Linked DNA regions of Mus musculus: region 2 is reported to be linked to region 1. Evidence: microRNA targets listed by miRTarBase, many of them from high-throughput screens and not tested one by one. Region 1 holds a microRNA gene; the other region holds the end of a gene's coding sequence.
Evidence for each region. Region 1 holds the annotated microRNA mmu-miR-362-5p (AAUCCUUGGAACCUAGGUGUGAAU, at 1,492-1,515, shown strand). A microRNA usually pairs through its seed, bases 2 to 8, with sites in the 3' UTR of a target mRNA and lowers its output. Matches are read on the target gene's strand: a 7mer-m8 pairs with bases 2 to 8, a 7mer-A1 pairs with bases 2 to 7 and ends in A, and an 8mer does both.

Region 2: the mRNA of Maneal is a reported target of mmu-miR-362-5p. Seed matches in the 3' UTR shown: 7mer-m8 at 1,912-1,918.

What each region holds. Positions count from the first base shown.
Region 1 is chrX:7,239,035-7,243,533 of GRCm38, reverse strand. It overlaps Mir362 (microRNA 362), which reads left to right and starts at 1,488; the gene lies at 1,488-1,552. All of the region lies in intron 2 of Clcn5 (chloride channel, voltage-sensitive 5), which reads left to right. It overlaps Mir501 (microRNA 501), which reads left to right and starts at 2,183; the gene lies at 2,183-2,291.
Region 2 is chr4:124,853,074-124,857,572 of GRCm38, reverse strand. Maneal (mannosidase, endo-alpha-like) reads left to right here. Exons shown (of 4, transcript NM_001007573.3): 4 at 334-2,334. The coding sequence ends at 970. Yrdc (yrdC domain containing (E.coli)) reads right to left here. Exons shown (of 5, transcript NM_153566.2): 4 at 3,557-3,699; 5 at 2,331-3,098. The coding sequence ends at 3,026. Among named protein-coding and RNA genes, the nearest start is that of Yrdc, 4.6 kb to the right of the region's middle.

The sequences.
Region 1 (4,499 bases):
ACACTTGTTTTCTCATAGAGAAAAATGCCTTACTGTCATTCATTTATATTCGCTCTCCCCCCTTCTCTACTTCTCCCCTCTCTCCTTACTCCTGACTCTCTTCACTCTCTGTGACATATAGTAGGAAAGTGAAAGATTGAAACTTGTGATTTTGTCTTTCATATCCCTCACAGAAAGGGGTGTGAACTTCGTTGATTTAGGCACATTGAAGAAGAATTACCAGAGAGCCAGTCCTTGCATTGCCTTTTACAGATTCTCCGAGTCACTGATATTCATGCCTCCTTCACCTGGCTTTTGCATATATGAGTATGACCATACTATTGTAAACAGGACATTCATTTAGACACATGTGTACAAAAATGGTAGTGTAAGAGGTAAAAATAATAGCCAGGGGCCAGGTCCTGCATCCTACTCTAGGCTTGCATCTTACCTAATTTTTTTGGTACTCTTTAAAGAGATAGCATTTGTTATTCTCATTTTTTAGAAGTAGTCCATGACCTTGGAGAAAGCAGGTAGATTCTTTAATCCAGTACATGGTGAAGTATAGGTTTGAAACAGGGTTTGTAGATACCAAACTCCACAGTTTCTCTGTCTTATCCATGATGCTGGTAAGGTCCCCAGCATCACCCAGCCCCTTTTAGAAATACAAAATCTTGAGCTCACTAATGAGAAACCTCTGTAAGTTATCTTAGTACCAAGTCCTCCAGGTATCTGAAGTAACTTTAACAAGATGCTGATGTGTGTTAAAGGATGCCAATCTCTACTGCCATCTTGTGAGCTTATGGCCTCTTCTCTCTGTCTCTCTGTCTTTTTTTCTTTCAGTATTTTGTATCTCTGGCTTTATATTTTTATAATCTCAGAACAAAATATGAATGTATATATTTAGACAGGTTTCTCTGTCTCTGTCTGTCTGTCTGTCTGTCTGTCTCTCTGTCTCTGTCTCTCTTTGTCTCTGTGTCTGTCTGTCACTCTGTCTCTCTCTCTCTCTCTCTCTCTCTCTCTCTTTCTGTGTATGTGTGTGGAGGGTGCAGAGGTCAACCTGAGGTGCTTCCCCTTTGGGGACATCTACCCTGTTTTTTGAAACAGTCTCTAATAGGGACTTGGCACTCACCAGTTAGGCCAAGGGATCTAGCTTTCTTTGAGTCCTCACGCTTGGCTCTTTTATGTGGAGGCTGGGAGTTGAACTCAGGTGCCTAGACATACTTAATGTGAAGCTCAAGAACATTGTCTTCTTTCTCATCACAGATAAGCACCTTGTGTCAAAGGTGAGCCCATGCGTTCATTTGCTGTGAGCCTTTTGCCCTGCTTCAGTTCTCTGATCCTTGCTACCTGGGTGAGAGTGTTCTTCAGCAAGGATTCTGAGAGCCAGACCTTTGTGTTTGTAAAGGACAGAGCGCATCTCTCGTTCTCTTTTAGTGTGTTGCACACAAGCATATTGACCACACACAGGAAGGGCAGGTTCCTGAGCCTTCTTGCTTGCTCCCCCTCTCGAATCCTTGGAACCTAGGTGTGAATGCTGCTTCAGTGCAACACACCTGTTCAAGGATTCAAAGAGGCTGAGCCTTGTCTGCGTGTAGAATGGCCCATACTTGCACATCTCACCTGCCACCTTCCCTCCTCCTGGCCACCATTTGATTTTGGTTTTAGCTGTCAGACTTGGTTCTACACATTTTCTAACAGCAAAATGGTCTTTATCATGTTTGGTAGACATGCTTCTATTCTCAGCATGAGCTTTCTTGATTCCCAGTTTGCTAAGTGTCAGATCATGTGATGAGGAGCACACATTAGGTGCTGCTACTCAGGCAACCCGTTTGTTACATCCAGTGATAACCCCTGTTCCACAAAGCTTGAATTGTATAAAGGCATTGGAAAGGAATGGAGTATCCTCCTCCACTGTGCCCTCTTTCAGTATGTATATGCATTCTCAGATCCCAGCCTTCTTGCTACCTTCCAAACATAAATCAGGCCCCCACAAATTCTCAAGTATGATCTGGGAGAGATACCATTTTGTATACGTAGAAGTTTTCTCTGAGAGAGGATGCTCATGGTGGGAAGGGGGCAGATACATATATAAATCAGGGATGTCAAGCTTGGGTATAGGTGGTGATGCTTGGCTGAATCAGGACAAGGAAAATTAAATATTATATACAGAACCACACAAACATGGTACAGGTGCCTGGGCCTTCTGCTCTGCTCATCCTCTCTAATCCTTTGTCCCTGGGTGAAAATGCTATTTGTATGCAATGCACCCGGGCAAGGATTTGGGGAAGGTGAGCCTGATCTGCATGGAGAAGGACAGGAGGTCTGTGCATCATATCTCATCTGTTTGCTGCTTGCATACTTCTTTTATGCCTCCCCCCACCTTCTTTCCTTCTACAAATACAACGGGCATGGTGCATGGGAGAGTAAATGTGACAAATTTGGCCTCTTCCCACCTAGATTTTATAGGTAGAACTTTATTTCCACTTATGACCCTAACAGGTATCAAGAACAAGTGGGGCACATAGTAAACTGTGTATTGACATAAGTGCGCAGCTTTTCATTCTAGTTCTCATACCGACACCTGGAAGAGAAATTCTTCTTTAGTTCAACTCTTGGAGGAATGCACAGGGCAAGAACAGTAAGCCTTCTTGTTGAACCCACATGCCAAGGGCATAGGTGCAGGCTGTGCCTTTCTAGTACTTGCTACTTGGATGAGTGTGCTTTGCGAATGCAATATACCTGGGCAAGGGTTCAGACATTGAGTTATCTTCATGTAGGACCTTTACGCCTCCTTCCACTGTTTCCTGTCTATTTATTCAGTATGGCAGGTACTCAACTAGGGATTTGGTCCACAGGAGTATGAACCACATGTGGTTCAGGGAGCAAATGGTCCAGGGAGAGTGAGCTGTGTCACATCCATTATGCCTGCATGAGTGGACTGTAGACTGGGACTTCATGTACACTGTCCACTTGGATTCTTCCATATTTTAACACAGTCCCATATAAATGCAGTGTATACAGAGGAGAGGATTCACAGACTTGTGCCCACAGAGAGGATTATCTGACCTGATTCATCAGGAACATTAATCCTCAGCACAAGTGCTGTTTTCAATAGTAAGTCCTGTCCAAGGAATCCAAAGGGTGGCACTTCGCCTGCACTTTAAAGGACAGAGCCCCTATATGTCCACACCCCTGTTCCTTTTCCTTCCTTTCACAAATATTCAGGTATGCACTATTTGATACAGCTCTGTTAGTCATAGAGGATGTAGCAGGAAACAAAATGAACAGAGGTGCTACTCTCTTAGGAGACTAATAAACACACTAAGATCCTTGACTATTATAGACTCACCAACTGCTGTTCAAAAGAATGACCTAGGTCTATTGTTCCTTGTTTTCTATTCTGTATGAATGACTCAGTGCAGGGTCTGATAGATGAGATTTCTCAAACTATTCCCCCTCCCATGGCCCTAGATATGCCTAAACACATGGGCCTACGTGGAGAGGAGTCACTCGCTCACAGGAAGAGTGGATATGGAGCCTATTGTGTTGTTCCCTCTCCTCATCCCTTCAGCCCGAAGACCAGTAGACTAAGTGACTTCTTGTCAACTACCATCACTACTCCCATTTGAAGACAGGAGCTTACTGTCTTACTGTGTAGCTCTGTCCCTCAAGCTGATTCTCCTATACCCACCTCCATAGGTCATACTTTTCTACACACATTTGCAAGCTGGCCTGGGCAACATGTGATCCCAAAAGAAAAGTGAATCTCTTTCATGTTAAAAATAGTAGTCTTTATATCATGTATATTTTTTATTCAGATGAGGGAGGTCTAACTAAGTAGCTTAGTCCAGCCTGGAACTTGCTGTCTATTCCAGAGTAGCCCAGATCTCTTGGTTCACCTGCCTCAGGCTCTGGGTGCTGGGATTATAGGTCTGATGTGCCACCGTGTCCAGATGCTTCATGTTCTGAATGGCCATTTACAGTGGTGATTCTCAAGGCAGGATCCCTGAATCAGCAGCATCACCGTCACATGGGAATGCATTCAAAGTGCGGAGTTCCACCCCTGACCTATCAGGTCATAACACAGAGCAGTTTATATTCTCTTTAAGCCTTCCAGTTGATTCTGATGATCACTCAAATCTTATAATCACAGAATCCAGCCAGGTGAGGGGCTAGAGAGGAAAGAGTTCCCTTCTTTCTTATGTATGTTCATGCAGGCTGTCTGGGAGAAGCTCAGCTGGTCTCTCCTGCCTTCTCATTCCCACACTTGATGATGGCATGTGGGCAAATGAATATGCAACAAAGAGAGAGAAACCGTAGCATGATTTCTGTAGGCATGTACCTAATATTATAGACAGACACATAATTGGTGTACAAAACCAAAACCAACTCAAACACTTCCTTGTGTGCATGGATTACACATGAGAGTGGGCCTTGTCATCATGAATCTTCTGCCAGGTGATTTAATTAGCACATGTTGACTGTTCACTATGCTGTGCTATGTGTTGTTGCAGGAG
Region 2 (4,499 bases), not on the chromosome of region 1:
CCAGTTAGGCAGTGGAATCTAATGTGTAGTAGCTGAAAATAGGTCAGGTCAGACCAGAAACGGGAATCCCTACAGGCCATGGTAAGATTATATCCTACAGGAAGGCAGGAATAAAGGCTAGATGCCAATTAGGAGATTGTTGCTGAAATTCTGATGAAGATGGTGGGCAGGCTGGGGAGAAGATGGGCTTCGGGAAGGGGGCACGGTGCTGAGAAGGGAGGCAGGCTAATACTTGAATGCATAGACAGGTTCAATATGTAACCTGCTGGATTCCAGAGTGCTGTGAGCTAATCTTACCACAACCAACCTAAGCCTCTCCCTCCTGCTCCTCAGGTATGGCTCCCACGGTGCATTCTACCGTTACAAGAATAGCATGGGCAAGAGCCTCCCACTCTTTTATATCTACGACTCCTATCTGACATCCCCTGAGGCCTGGGCCCACCTCCTGACACAAAATGGGCCTCACTCTATCCGCAACACTCCCTATGATGGGGTCTTCATAGCTCTGCTCGTGGAGGAGAGCCACACCCACGACATCCTCGCGGCAGGATTCGACGGAATGTACACCTACTTTGCCTCCAATGGCTTCTCCTTTGGCTCTTCCCATCAGAACTGGAAAGCTGTGAAGAACTTCTGTGATACCAACAACCTGATGTTCATCCCTAGCGTGGGGCCTGGGTACATTGATACCAGCATCCGGCCCTGGAACAACCACAATACTCGGAACCGGGTCAATGGCAAGTACTATGAGACAGCCCTGCAGGCAGCCCTGACTGTGAGGCCCGAGATAGTCTCTATCACCTCCTTCAATGAGTGGCACGAGGGCACACAGATTGAGAAAGCTGTCCCCAAGACGACGCCAACTCGCCTGTATCTGGACTACCTGCCTCACCAGTCCAGCCTGTATTTAGAGCTGACCCGCCGCTGGGCAGAGCACTTCATCAAGGAAAAGGAGCAATGGCTGATGTGAGGGACTCTCACGCAAACAAACCTTAACAGATCACCAAACTGGTTCAGTTGGGGATATAGGCACTCGCTAGTCCCAAGTAGCAACTGGGAGCTCGTGGGTGGACCAGCTGGCTCATGCAGAACAGAGCCTGGCACCTGGACTGGCGGTGCTGGGAAGCAAGACATGATGAAGCAGGAGGGGGCAAGTGGCTGCAATGGCTTAAGGAACCTCCAGGTCCCTCAGCTTTCAGCTGAGGCAGGTAGTTGTATGGAGTTGCGCAAGCCGCCATGCTTAGGAGGGTCTCAGGGTTCTAAGCTAGCATGCACCTTACTTCCCTTGGACAGCCACCTTCCCACATCTTGCTGAACACAGGGAACCACATCTGACACTTCTAAGAGGACTTTAAGGTCCTTCCAGTAGACTCCTGTGCCCCATTATCAGGAACACTGAGCACCCATACTAAGCACCTATTGCCTGTCAGGTGCTGGGGAATTTGAGCAAGGTTTCCTTCCCAAAGCTTACAGGATCCTGCTTTTGGTATAACTGTAGCTAGCACCTCGGCTGTTTTCGCTCTTTGCAGCTACACCCAGGCCTGGGAGTTCAGCTATTTTTTCCTCCAAGATAATACCTCTGTGACCCGGAGCCTTTCCCAGATGAACGTTTAGCTGCAGAGAGGACTAGGTCACTCCTTTTAGCTGCCTAGGCCGGGGAGGCCACTCACTAGGGCCACTTTCAGTGCTACTGTGATTTGTATTAAGTATGAAATGGTGTATGCCAGTACACATTCCTCTTCCAGTTCTCCTAAGTGCTGACCACTAGGTCAGTCTGGGACACATCAGTGTATGGCTAGGCTGGCTAGCTTTAGCACAGTGGAGATGGATCTGCTTATAAGACTAGTTTACATAAGATTTCTAGGGAGTTAACGAGCCAGTGCTTACTCACAAATAAACTAATGCTACTTGCAAGGATCCTTGGTAAAGTAAAACCTGATGAATATTTTCAGCAAGATTCTTGAAAAGGAAATGTTCACTAGACCCTTCTGGACTGGTTTACAGGCTAAAGCTGAGCCTTTAACTCTGGGAAATGGCTGCAGATGGAGGAGGTGAAATACTGGTCACTGCAAGGACAACCAGCCCAGTCACCGACACTTAACCCCCGAGACAGATCAGCTGGGCTGACCACCCAGCTTGCAGCTTAGTTGAAAGGGCTGGATTTAACCCTGCATATATATTGTGGATACAGCAAGGCAGCAGGAAGGAGCAAGCACCCTCAGATTTTCTGAAGACTAATCTACATCAACAGCCATAATGCACACATATATCTTGACTGAGAAATCCTACTCTAAGGAAATAACTCAAAAGAAAAATAAACCATTTACAACTGTTTGTAGAAGCAATATTTAATAACAACAAAAGAAAATACAGTTCAAATACCCCAAAATAATTATGTAAATACTTGGTAGACATATGAACAAGGATAAAAGGCTTCTGCATAAACAAAGAAGCTAAATAAATTACACATAAAACTATACCAATAAATTAGAAAGTCACCGGCTGAAAAAAGTCAAGATTTTATTTTTCAATATTTCACTTGGGACCCCTAGAATAATTTCCCCAATAACCACTCCCCTGTACCCAGACAGCTTTGCCCTCGGCTCCTAGACTTTGCTGCGTTGGTCCTAAGACTTCTATTCTAGACTGCATTAGTGCTTCTGGCTGGTTTGACATCAAATGTCACTGTTCCCCAGAAAGCAGCTTTTAATGCATTCTAATTCTGTACTCAAGTTACTTAAAGGGGGTGGGGGTGAGAGGGGGCACTTAAAATAATAAGGCCACTCTAAGAACATCCTTCCCTCCATTTAATTCTTGGCTGACAAATAAATGTACAGAATAAATAAATATAACCTTCCCCCGGGGACAAGGCTCACCCTGCAGCTTCTGGCTGGCCTACAGGATTCAGAGCCAAGGATGCTGCCTAAAAAGCTAGGCTATAGATGTAGGAACCTCAGGCAGTGAGGCTTTGCCATCCAGTAGCAGACACATAGTATCCAGCATGGTCCTTGGGTCCTCCCAAGTTTCATGAACAGGACCCCTGTGAAGGGAGCAGCCCATATTTCTGCTGGAGGATCGATGTAGTGTTTTCCAGGGCACTGAGGAAGATAGAAGGTAGTTAAGAGTTTGACTTCTCAGAAGATGGAGTACACCAAAGTCTGAGTAGCCTAATTCTAATTACTGTCCCACTGTTAAACAAACTTGATGAATCTTAAAAAGCCAGCTATACCAGCAAATTTAGTCCCAGCCCACTTAACACCTCTCTGTGGCAGCCCTTAGTGGTCCCTTTAAAATGGTAATGAAGATATGCACTTTTTTGGTTAAGTTTTTGTTATTTTTGCTTTCAAGACAGGGTTTCTATGTGTAGCCCTGGTGTCCTGGAATTGCTTTGTAGACCAGGCTAGCCTTGAACTCACAAGAGATCTGCCTGCCTCTGTCTCTTAAGTGCTGAGATTAACGGCGTGAATTAACACTGCCTGGAGAAAACCTGCACTTTAAATCTTCTCTTTTCTCCAACCTCCCTCACATTCCCCAGAGGCACAGGAAAGATACTTACCAGCCTGGGCGAATAATGCCAAACTTTCCAGGCACAGATAAGTCAACCACAGTAGAGCCGAGGCGACACTCAGGGCTCTGACTATCCCCAATTGGCCCCCCATCAATGACAAGGGACAAATGAGGCCAGAGGTCTTGGAACTCCTGAAAAGAAAGAAGGTTAGGGCACAGCTGAATTATCATCCTGAATACACAGCTCACATTTAAATATAATTATCTTCCTTTAAGCAGCATAGAAACCTCTTAGTACCGTCAGCTAAGTCAAGGGCACAATTAACACCAGGATCTGATATGTACCACGTCTGAAGCCTCCTTAGGTATGCACTCCTTAAAGAAAACCTTAATGCAATAAGAGGAATTCCAAGTACTGCAGGGATGGGGGAGGCTTAGGTCCAAAAAGTGGCGTGCTGGGTATGAGCCAGTCTTTCCGTATCTGTGTGATGCATGTAAATTACTTCACTCAGGCCCCTAAAGCAAAGCTCTAGCAGCCTGATCCTAGACCTCAGTGGAAGTTAAGAACTGTATAAACACATGCCACCAGCACTCAGCCCCTAGGCTACAGGGTGTACTGTTAACAGAGCTTGATTTCTTCTGGCCCCAGTAAAGAGTCTTCAATGCAGTTAGGCAGGGAACCAGCTATAAATCAAGCAATGACTGTGCTGGTCTAGGGCCGCTGACAAGGTAAAAACTTACTCCTCCTCTGGGAAGATTCCCACCCACGTCCACAGTGTATAGCTACCCGGAGCAACTAAAGCAGATACTACATTTCCAATGTCCCCAGGTCTGGCATAGAAAACCCCAGCACTTTACTGCAGCTAATGTTAAGTGTTGGAAGAACAGAACAAAGCTCCTTTGCCTGTTCATTTGTCCTAAACTACACAGCCAACACAGGATTACAATGATCTTATCTCAGGCCTATCTGGCAGGCAAAAATAAAATAAGGT